3 linked regions of the Saccharomyces cerevisiae S288C genome follow. The gene in region 2 interacts genetically with the main gene of each other region. Each region holds a gene or a part of one and is shown on either strand. Other genes may lie near its edges.

The links. Genes that interact genetically often act in the same process or in processes that back each other up.
Region 1: of GPX1 (region 2) and HMX1, extra expression of one rescues a mutant of the other (dosage rescue), as found in Saccharomyces cerevisiae (one study listed by BioGRID).
Region 3: mutations in GPX1 (region 2) and TSA2 impair growth when combined (synthetic growth defect), as found in Saccharomyces cerevisiae (one study listed by BioGRID).

Annotation. Positions count from the first base shown.
Region 1 is NC_001144.5:552,224-555,540, reverse strand, and holds HMX1 (Hmx1p), read left to right. Parts: upstream 1-1,863; coding exon 1,864-2,817; downstream 2,818-3,317. Other genes in the region: ENT2 (epsin), read right to left, coding at 1-963; mitochondrial 37S ribosomal protein mS38 QRI5, read right to left, coding at 2,936-3,271. UniProt on the Saccharomyces cerevisiae protein: Plays an important role in the degradation of heme under conditions of iron deprivation.
Region 2 is NC_001143.9:388,880-391,860, forward strand, and holds GPX1 (glutathione peroxidase GPX1), read right to left. Parts: upstream 1,005-2,981; coding exon 501-1,004; downstream 1-500. Other genes in the region: TCD2 (tRNA threonylcarbamoyladenosine dehydratase), read left to right, coding at 1-26; PAN-complex poly(A)-binding subunit PAN3, read right to left, coding at 1,361-2,981. UniProt on the Saccharomyces cerevisiae protein: Glutathione peroxidase-like protein that protects cells from phospholipid hydroperoxides and nonphospholipid peroxides during oxidative stress. Has peroxidase activity using thioredoxin or glutathione as a reducing power. Involved in peroxisome formation.
Region 3 is NC_001136.10:1,364,572-1,367,472, reverse strand, and holds TSA2 (thioredoxin peroxidase TSA2), read left to right. Parts: upstream 1-1,810; coding exon 1,811-2,401; downstream 2,402-2,901. Other genes in the region: GUK1 (guanylate kinase), read left to right, coding at 646-1,209; PPN1 (endopolyphosphatase), read right to left, coding at 2,571-2,901. UniProt on the Saccharomyces cerevisiae protein: Thiol-specific peroxidase that catalyzes the reduction of hydrogen peroxide and organic hydroperoxides to water and alcohols, respectively.

The sequences.
Region 1 (3,317 bases), on a different chromosome or scaffold from region 2:
TTGCTGTTGCAAGGCAGAAGCGGCGGCCGCAGCTTGTTGTTGCTGCTGAAAATATTGTTGTTCAGCAAGCTGCTGTTGTTCTTGCTGCTGGTCCAGCCATCTTTGCTGAGCCATTGCTTGTTCCTGGTCCTGTTGGTACTGATACTGTAAGTATTCATCTTGGGAGATTGGATTACCGAAAATGTCGTAGTACGCTGGTTGTTGTTGTGGTTGTTGTTGTTGTAAAGGAGCTTGAAATTGAGACAGAGACTGTTGTTGCTTCTGTAATCTCTGTAGTTCCTGCAATTGCTTCAACTCCTCTTCTTCTTTACTTAGTTGTAAGGCAGCTTGGAAGTCAGGATCTTCATCGTCGTACTGGGCCAGTTCTCTTCTACGTTGTTCATCTTCTTGAGCAGTAATTCTGCTCTCCTCTAGGGCCTTTTCCAAATCGTCCTGGTAAGAGGGAGAAGAATCGTGTGGGTTGCTCCTTGTTCTTTGTCTTCTTGGCCTTGGCCTAGCAGCTCTGTTCGCCCTTCTGTTTCTTGTATTCATAGACCTCTCTTCGCGTAGCCTTTCTTCATCATTCAACAAAGAGACGAGTTCTTTAGCCTTTACTCTGATAATTTGTCCCTCGTCAAATCCGGACTCATTTTCGTGTCTGAATTCCCTTAATGTCTTAATTACGTAAAAATTCTCTCTGCACCATAGCACACAGTTCTCACTCCCGAAACGAACAAGATAGTCCAAAACGGTCAGCGATTTGGCAACGTGTCTCCAGTATTTGCCCTTATCGTTCAGCCTCTTGTCTAACATATCCATAATCTCGAAGAAGTCCACCGAATCGTAAGATCTCTGTGCCAAATCGTCGAGAGTGTCTATCGATGGAGTCCTCGAGTCGTTCGCCGTGGCATCTCTCACAAGCACTTGTGTGGATGAGTAGCCCTTCATCATGTTCTTTGCAGAACGAACAAACTGCTTAGACATTACTTACAAAACAAATACACTTAATAGGGGTGTGTCAAAATAAACAAAAGAAGATGATAAGAATTTGTGAAGGTCAAACTAGAATGTGAGCGTATTCGCAGTTGTAGGCAAAACAGAACAAAATAATTAAATAAACGAACGCCTCCTTCAACAAAGGTCAATAATGTAGCAAAATATTGGGAGTGTGTCAATCCTTGAAAGGGTCCGTAACTAAACTCTTCTTTCTTTAGTTTCCACTACTTTTTTTTTCACCCTTCGCCGCAGGGTAATTTCTTGTAGGCCATGTATATACGATTAATCGTTACACATAAAATGCGGTTTGGACAAACAATACAATGGATCGTGCGGGATACTGCCAGACTACGCTATGCTCGACTGTAGAATACTGAGTGGTGATATCGCCCCTTCGGTATTGTGATCTTGGGCGCACTTGTTTATCTAACAGGTGCGGGTGCAAGTTTACTAGAGCATCGTCGTATGATGGGGAAAGTCAGGGTGTATGTGCCCGTCGATTGAGCACCAAGACCCGTTGCCATGTGCATATGTTATTGTACCCATAGAGGCAGTCCACGTTCGGCCATCTATCTATCTTTAGATAAACGGATCATTGGCGATACCGCCTGGCCATTTGCACCTGCTCGGGGTCGGCGTTATCGGACCGTGGAATTTGAGCCATGTAACACACGGTTTCAAACATGGGCTAATGACCTTCATAAGTAGGACGATTTACACCTGAGTTGGGTGTGATGGAGCAATGGCCAGGTGCCCCTCTCGCCCTCTTGTGTTTGTATATAAGAGCAACCTCCTCATACTCTCTTGCTTAGTCTAAGGAGGAGCTATTTAACAGTGCACAATATAACACAGCATATATACACACACACACATAAAATAACCGCAAAAATGGAGGACAGTAGCAATACAATCATACCCTCACCCACTGACGTGGGGGCGCTAGCAAACAGAATCAACTTTCAAACCAGAGATGCCCACAATAAAATCAATACCTTCATGGGCATAAAGATGGCCATCGCCATGAGACATGGCTTTATATACAGACAGGGTATTCTGGCGTACTATTATGTGTTCGATGCCATCGAGCAAGAGATAGATCGCCTACTGAATGACCCCGTAACGGAGGAGGAGCTGCAAACTTCGACCATTCTGAAGCAGTTTTGGCTCGAAGATTTTAGAAGATCTACGCAGATCTATAAGGACCTGAAGCTGCTATACTCAAACACGTTTAAAAGCACAGAATCATTAAACGAATTCCTGGCTACGTTCCAGAAGCCACCGCTACTACAGCAGTTTATCAATAACATCCACGAAAACATACACAAGGAGCCATGCACCATTCTTTCTTACTGTCACGTTCTGTACTTGGCGCTTTTCGCCGGCGGCAAGCTAATACGATCGAATTTGTACAGAAGACTGGGGCTCTTCCCCAACTTCGAGAAGCTATCACAGAAGGAACTGGTCAAAAAGGGCACAAACTTCTTCACCTTCAGCGATCTGGGTCCCACTGAAGAAACACGCTTGAAATGGGAATACAAGAAGAACTATGAGCTGGCCACCAGGACGGAATTGACCGAAGCACAAAAGTTGCAGATCATTAGCGTCGCAGAAGGCATTTTTGATTGGAACTTCAACATCGTTGCAGAAATTGGAGAGTTGAATCGTCGCGAGTTAATGGGCAAGTTCAGCTTCAAGTGTATTACGTACTTGTACGAAGAATGGATGTTCAACAAGGATTCTGCTACTAGAAGAGCACTCCACACGGTCATGCTGCTGGTGCTTTCTATTATCGCGATCTGGGTTCTTTACTTCTTGGTAAAGAGTTTTCTTAGCATAGTATAACGTATAAAAAAAAAAGTCTAAATACAAACATAATATATACATGAAATAATATCAAAATATGAAGAATAGGGAAGGAAAAACAGCAGAGAAAAACATGTGAGAGGTTTTTACAGCCCTATTATCTACCCTGAGATAGCTTTCTTCTTTCTGCCTTCTCCCTCTTTCTTCTTTTCCGCAGTTTGTGTTTCTTCATCTTTTTTTTCCTCTTTCTCATCACTGAATCGAGTTGCATCACTATATTTGAACCGTTTAATGGCTCACTGACTGTGCCAGTGATCCTTGTTGCCGTAGCCGTCATCATCATCATTGTACTCAGCATGCCCTCTTGCATGGGAGGCATTGTAGTGTTAATTGCTGTTTGAAAGGTTCTGTTAAAGTAGGACCCGCAACTTGGTTTCTTAACCACCGTCCTAGTAATGCCCAGCCACCCAGGTCGCAATGCCCTTCCTAGCATGTTTATCTCGTTCTGGTGTCGTGTGTGCTCGTCTTGGCTGGAACTC
Region 2 (2,981 bases):
AAGCTTATTACTCTCAATTCAGATGATCTTGTTCCTTTCCAACATATAAAGCATTTTCTTCCATAGAGTTACGTACTATTCCAGGAGGCTTTTCGGACTCATACCATATAGAAAACTATTTTTATGCTTCTTCATTTACTTCTACTTGTTTATGTTTATTTGTAAAATTACATTATTTAATTTCTTGAAAGTAAAAAACTTGAATTTCTGAAATAAATAAAAACTAGAGAAAAATTAACGATGAGGCATGCGACGGAAATCAATATTGAAACTTCTCAAAGCTGAACCACTGAAAGGGTTCTTTAGGACAATTTTCATTCCCTTAATCAACAAAAAATGACTAAAACCTACATATTCTTCTTAGAAAAAATACATACGCAAAACAAGATAGAAGAGCAACTGTTGATACGATAGCAAGGGTGACAGAGACTATTCAATTATATGTCTTTTATTTTCATTCTTATCACCACTTTTCCGTTTTCAACTTCGTTGACCGCAAATTAAATCTGTTCTTCTGGTGGTTGATTCAGTAATTCTTCGATTATTGGACAAAGCTCTAGTGGCCTAGTCATGCATGAAAACCTTTTAACCACCTTCCCATTTCGGTCTACCACAAACTTTTCAAAATTCCATTTTATCATTTTTATTCCAGACTTCCCGCTTACTGAATTCTTTAAGAACTTGTAGACGGGATCTTGCTTTTGCCCGTTGCAACGGATCTTATGTAGAATAGGGAAGGTTACACCATATTTATCTTGACAGAACTTATTAATCTCTTTATCCTTCTCGAACTCTTGATTTCCGAATTGACCACAGGGAAAGGCCACAATCACTAGACCATGTGATTTGTATTTTTCGTACAAGTACTCTAATTCCTTGTATTGAGGTGTGAACGCACAATGAGATGCTACATTGACTATCAAAACCACTTTGTTACGCAGGGAGTTGAAGGGGAATGGATTTCCGTTTTCATCTATTGGTGAAAAAGAATAAAATTCTTGCATCGTTACTTATAAATATTGTGTTTCTCCGCTTATATTCCTTATACGGGTTCACAATCAGAGAACCTCGCCGTGCACAATATCACCTACATGACTAAAATATATTTGTACATTACTGTGTTATATAATCACTTAATATTGTTCACCATAAGCAATCTCTGTAGTAGAGGTGAGCCCCGGCTTTAAGTTCTCTTAGATGTGGCGAACAAGGGATGAATCGCTTACCCTATAGAATTAGGGAACAGAAGGGGAAAGCAAATACGGAAAATTTTCCACATGAAGACGGTAGTGGGGTATGTCAAGGGGATACTAATGTATAATTAATATATATGTGTGTATCTACATTATTTGGTGTTGTTTTATTGGGTGATGGATCGAAAGGTGGATTCTATCAAGTCCTTCAACTCCTTATAGGATATAATAATACAGTTTAACTCATCGGGCGTTACCAACATTAACTTTTCTTGAATACCAGCGTCTAATTTGTTCAAACATCTTAGGACATGAGTTAAATCCATTATTGGTTTCCCATTCGAATCCACTTGATGGAATACGTAGTCATAAAATAGTATAATGGGGAATTTAGTCCCAGATTCGGACCAATTTATGTCTATTCTTGATTCGATTCTACCAAAAATGCAATTTAGCTTGTTGACCAGCCTAAATAATCTGCCATTTTCTAGTTCTCTTGATAAGACAGACTCCATGTATTCTGTATAGGTTTGTGACGATTCCAGGACCATGAACATCTTATCATAAAAGTGACTAGTAAGATCATGAATGCTCTTTTTGGAATCGCCGTTGTCTGATATCAGATACTTGAGTACATCCTTGAACTTATCATCGATCTGTCTCATGTCATCAATTGATTGAGGGGTTATTTCCTCCAATCGATATTCTTTAGGGGCAGTGTTGTTATTAGAGTTTTCAATATTAATGGATAGGTTAAATAATAGCTCTCCTAAATATTTGTAGTCTAGCTGTTGTTGTCCCTCTATGGTACTTCCGCCGGAAGATACTACGGTATCAGTATCATCATTGAACAAAAGGTCCATAAAATTGCAGTGTGATAACTTGATTCTCCCTGGGTCCCCAGTAATCAAAACTTTTCTCCAGTTTAATGTATTGCCAATACTCAAGTTTTGTGAATGGATAGAGTTTATTACATTGGTGAGTTGAACTAAATATATCCATAAATAATTATTCGTTATTGGAAACTTAGGGAAATTAACAAAGTGGTAATCATACAAAGATAGCGAGTTTGGGTAGTAGTCAAAGACCAAACAAATAGACAGATCACCAAATTTAGTAGTTTGAAAAATGTCCCTAAACTTTATCAAATTTGTACAATTAATTTTTGACCATATCTGATATATTTTGGATATTTTGTTTGGATTCATTGACTTATCGATGTTAGGAAGCCTCTTCAAAACGTAGGCTTTACCGTCATAATTGGAAAAAACTTTGAAGAGCGTAGTTTTATTTAAAAAATCGTTATTATTGAAGTTCAATGGAACCAAATTAAAATAATCTTGTACAATACTTGGTATAACTTTACCTGAAGAGGGGAAAACCTGCAAAATCGATAAGTTTTTCTTGGTTAAATCTTCTCTAATATTGTTTGGAATGAAAAGCTGATCTGCAGACCTTTCATTAGGCTTTAATAATGATTTCAATGATGATGGCTGTTCAGGTGCATATAGGTGATACTGTAGAAGACTGTGAGGAGGCGGATAAATACGTGGGTACTTAAGATTACTACTCTCTATGGGTGGCGGTTGCATAGGAGGTGGCACATTATTAGCCATACTCATATTGTTACTATTATCATCAGTGGCGTTTATATTTATGCCACCAGAATTTGCAATGGAGGGAAATGGAAAAGAATGTGCATTTGCATTAGTGTGAATTGAGGAGGTTGAAGACGGAGTGAAAATGGGGGCATTGAAGGGGTCGTAATTGGAACTCGAAGCGGTAGTT
Region 3 (2,901 bases), on a different chromosome or scaffold from region 2:
ATGTACTGACAGCGATAAAAGATTATCCTCTGAATTTCACTGCTTGCAATCTATGTTTAATCTACAACTATTTGTCAATCTTGGGTGCCCTTTATCTTAGAGTAGCTAGAAAAGCAACGGAAACAGAAAAAGTCACACCGTGAATAATGATTGTTCGATATCAACTTTTGCAGTTCCTTGCTATCACGTTTGTGCAAGGTATATCATCTGTCATAATCCTTTGGCAAGACTACTGCTCTGCTACTCCTTGTGTGTGCTCACGGCAGGCTACAATGCAAAATTCATCCTAAACTCTGCTCTATAAGCATTAATAAGGTGAAATTTTCACAGCCTTTACATAAAAAACGACAGTAAGTGTATAAATGTGATTGTCAAAACTGCGACGATTCGAAATGATAGCTATTTGAAGTGTAGGTTATATCGACAGGAAGTTTCGGTTCTCGAAATATGTGATGCGTCTTTCCGGCGGCGTCGATGCTAATAGCAACCGTACTCATCGGTACATTCCAAATTTCGAAAAAAAGCTTGGAAACACATAAAAAAGAAAAAAAAAAATACATTTAGCATAAATGGATACACAATGGCGTTTCTTTTTAGTTGATAACTACAGTTTACTTCGGATAAAGATTAGTAAACCTTTGCGTTATGTCCCGTCCTATCGTAATTTCTGGCCCAAGTGGTACAGGTAAATCTACACTGTTGAAGAAATTGTTCGCTGAATACCCAGATTCTTTCGGGTTTAGTGTTTCATCCACTACTAGAACCCCAAGAGCTGGCGAAGTAAACGGTAAGGACTATAACTTTGTCTCCGTAGATGAATTCAAATCTATGATTAAGAACAATGAATTCATTGAATGGGCGCAATTCTCCGGTAACTACTATGGTAGTACTGTCGCTTCCGTCAAACAAGTCAGTAAATCTGGTAAGACTTGTATTTTAGATATTGATATGCAGGGTGTCAAATCTGTCAAGGCTATCCCAGAGTTAAATGCCAGGTTTTTGTTTATTGCTCCACCATCGGTCGAGGATTTGAAAAAAAGATTAGAAGGTAGAGGTACGGAGACCGAAGAATCCATCAACAAGAGGTTAAGCGCCGCTCAAGCTGAATTGGCATATGCTGAGACAGGTGCCCATGACAAAGTTATTGTCAATGATGATTTGGACAAGGCCTACAAGGAATTGAAGGATTTTATCTTTGCAGAAAAATGATGTAGCCCTATATAGACATTACTAAGTATGTACCTGGTAGGAGAGTGCTGTCGCAAAGCGACAAAACGTCCAATTATTCAATTAATATAGTGTAAAAGTTCTCAACGGGCTTATGCTAGTTTTTTTTGTTAGTAAGCGCTACGACGACTAGAACCATCTCTTGAATTTCCAAGTGCCAAAATCAATGACCACGGATACTGTGGCCAGGAATCTGTTGGTTGGTCATCCTCAAGATCTAGACAATATCATATTGGGCCAGTATCTGATTATCTTAACTATATGCGCCCCTCTAGTTTACAAGTTTTAGTCATTGGGGGTTGGAAGGGCTGATCCCCCCTTACAATTGGCGTCGTTTAGGAGCGGGCGAGGCTCTCCTTTCTCTTACACATCTGCTAAGGTGTTTGTTACCCGAGTAATCAAGGATCAACTATGGATGAGATTTAGATTAACGTATTTAGAGCAGACGATTGTAAGAATATATTTTGTAATTTCGATTGTTTTTTGCTACTTACATTGTTTATCTTGAAATATCCAAAGTGAACACTATTACTGTTTTTTGCTCAAGAATATATTAGCCTTACAAGAACGTAAAAAACCAATCATGGTAGCAGAAGTTCAAAAACAAGCCCCACCATTTAAGAAAACCGCCGTAGTCGACGGTATCTTCGAGGAAATTTCACTGGAAAAGTATAAAGGTAAGTACGTTGTTCTAGCTTTTGTCCCATTGGCTTTTTCATTTGTCTGTCCAACTGAGATTGTTGCGTTTTCCGATGCCGCCAAGAAATTCGAAGATCAGGGCGCCCAAGTTTTATTTGCCTCCACCGACTCTGAATATTCCTTACTGGCATGGACCAACCTTCCCAGAAAAGACGGTGGATTAGGTCCAGTTAAAGTTCCTTTGCTTGCTGATAAGAATCATTCCTTATCCAGAGACTATGGCGTTTTGATTGAAAAAGAAGGTATAGCTTTAAGAGGTTTGTTCATAATCGACCCGAAGGGAATCATTAGACATATCACTATCAATGATTTATCTGTTGGCAGAAACGTCAATGAAGCTTTGAGATTAGTCGAAGGTTTCCAGTGGACTGACAAAAATGGTACAGTTTTGCCATGCAACTGGACCCCAGGAGCCGCCACCATCAAACCTGACGTTAAAGATTCCAAGGAGTATTTCAAAAATGCCAATAATTAATCTTCGCACGATAACGCTAGGCCCTATTAAATAATTAAAAATACATCACCCTATATATGATAAGAAAGATGGTTTTGTATTATTATGAAATTGACTTGAAAGAATAGTGTAACAAAAGAAAAAGAAACTGTAATTGAAGAATGATATGCATTTCTATGTGTATATTAACTTAATCATCTTTATATCCAGAAGACGCAAATGACCATTCGACGTATTTTTCCCATGCAGGTTTGTTTTCGTATAATCTGCCTGCAAGATCCAAATAACTTCCTACTGTTAACGAATCCATTGAGTATGGTTTCTCGTCTGAGGTATATTCTATCTCATACCTGAAAATATCCTTAGATTCAACAAATGAATTATGTAATTCTTGATTGATTTTTTCCAAGTCGGCGTAGAATTGGACGAAACGCGTCGGAGTGAATAACTGCGGTACATATGCAGGGCCGAGTTCGTATTTGTCTGGCATCTCAATTGGCATAGTCTTGTCATTTTTCTTT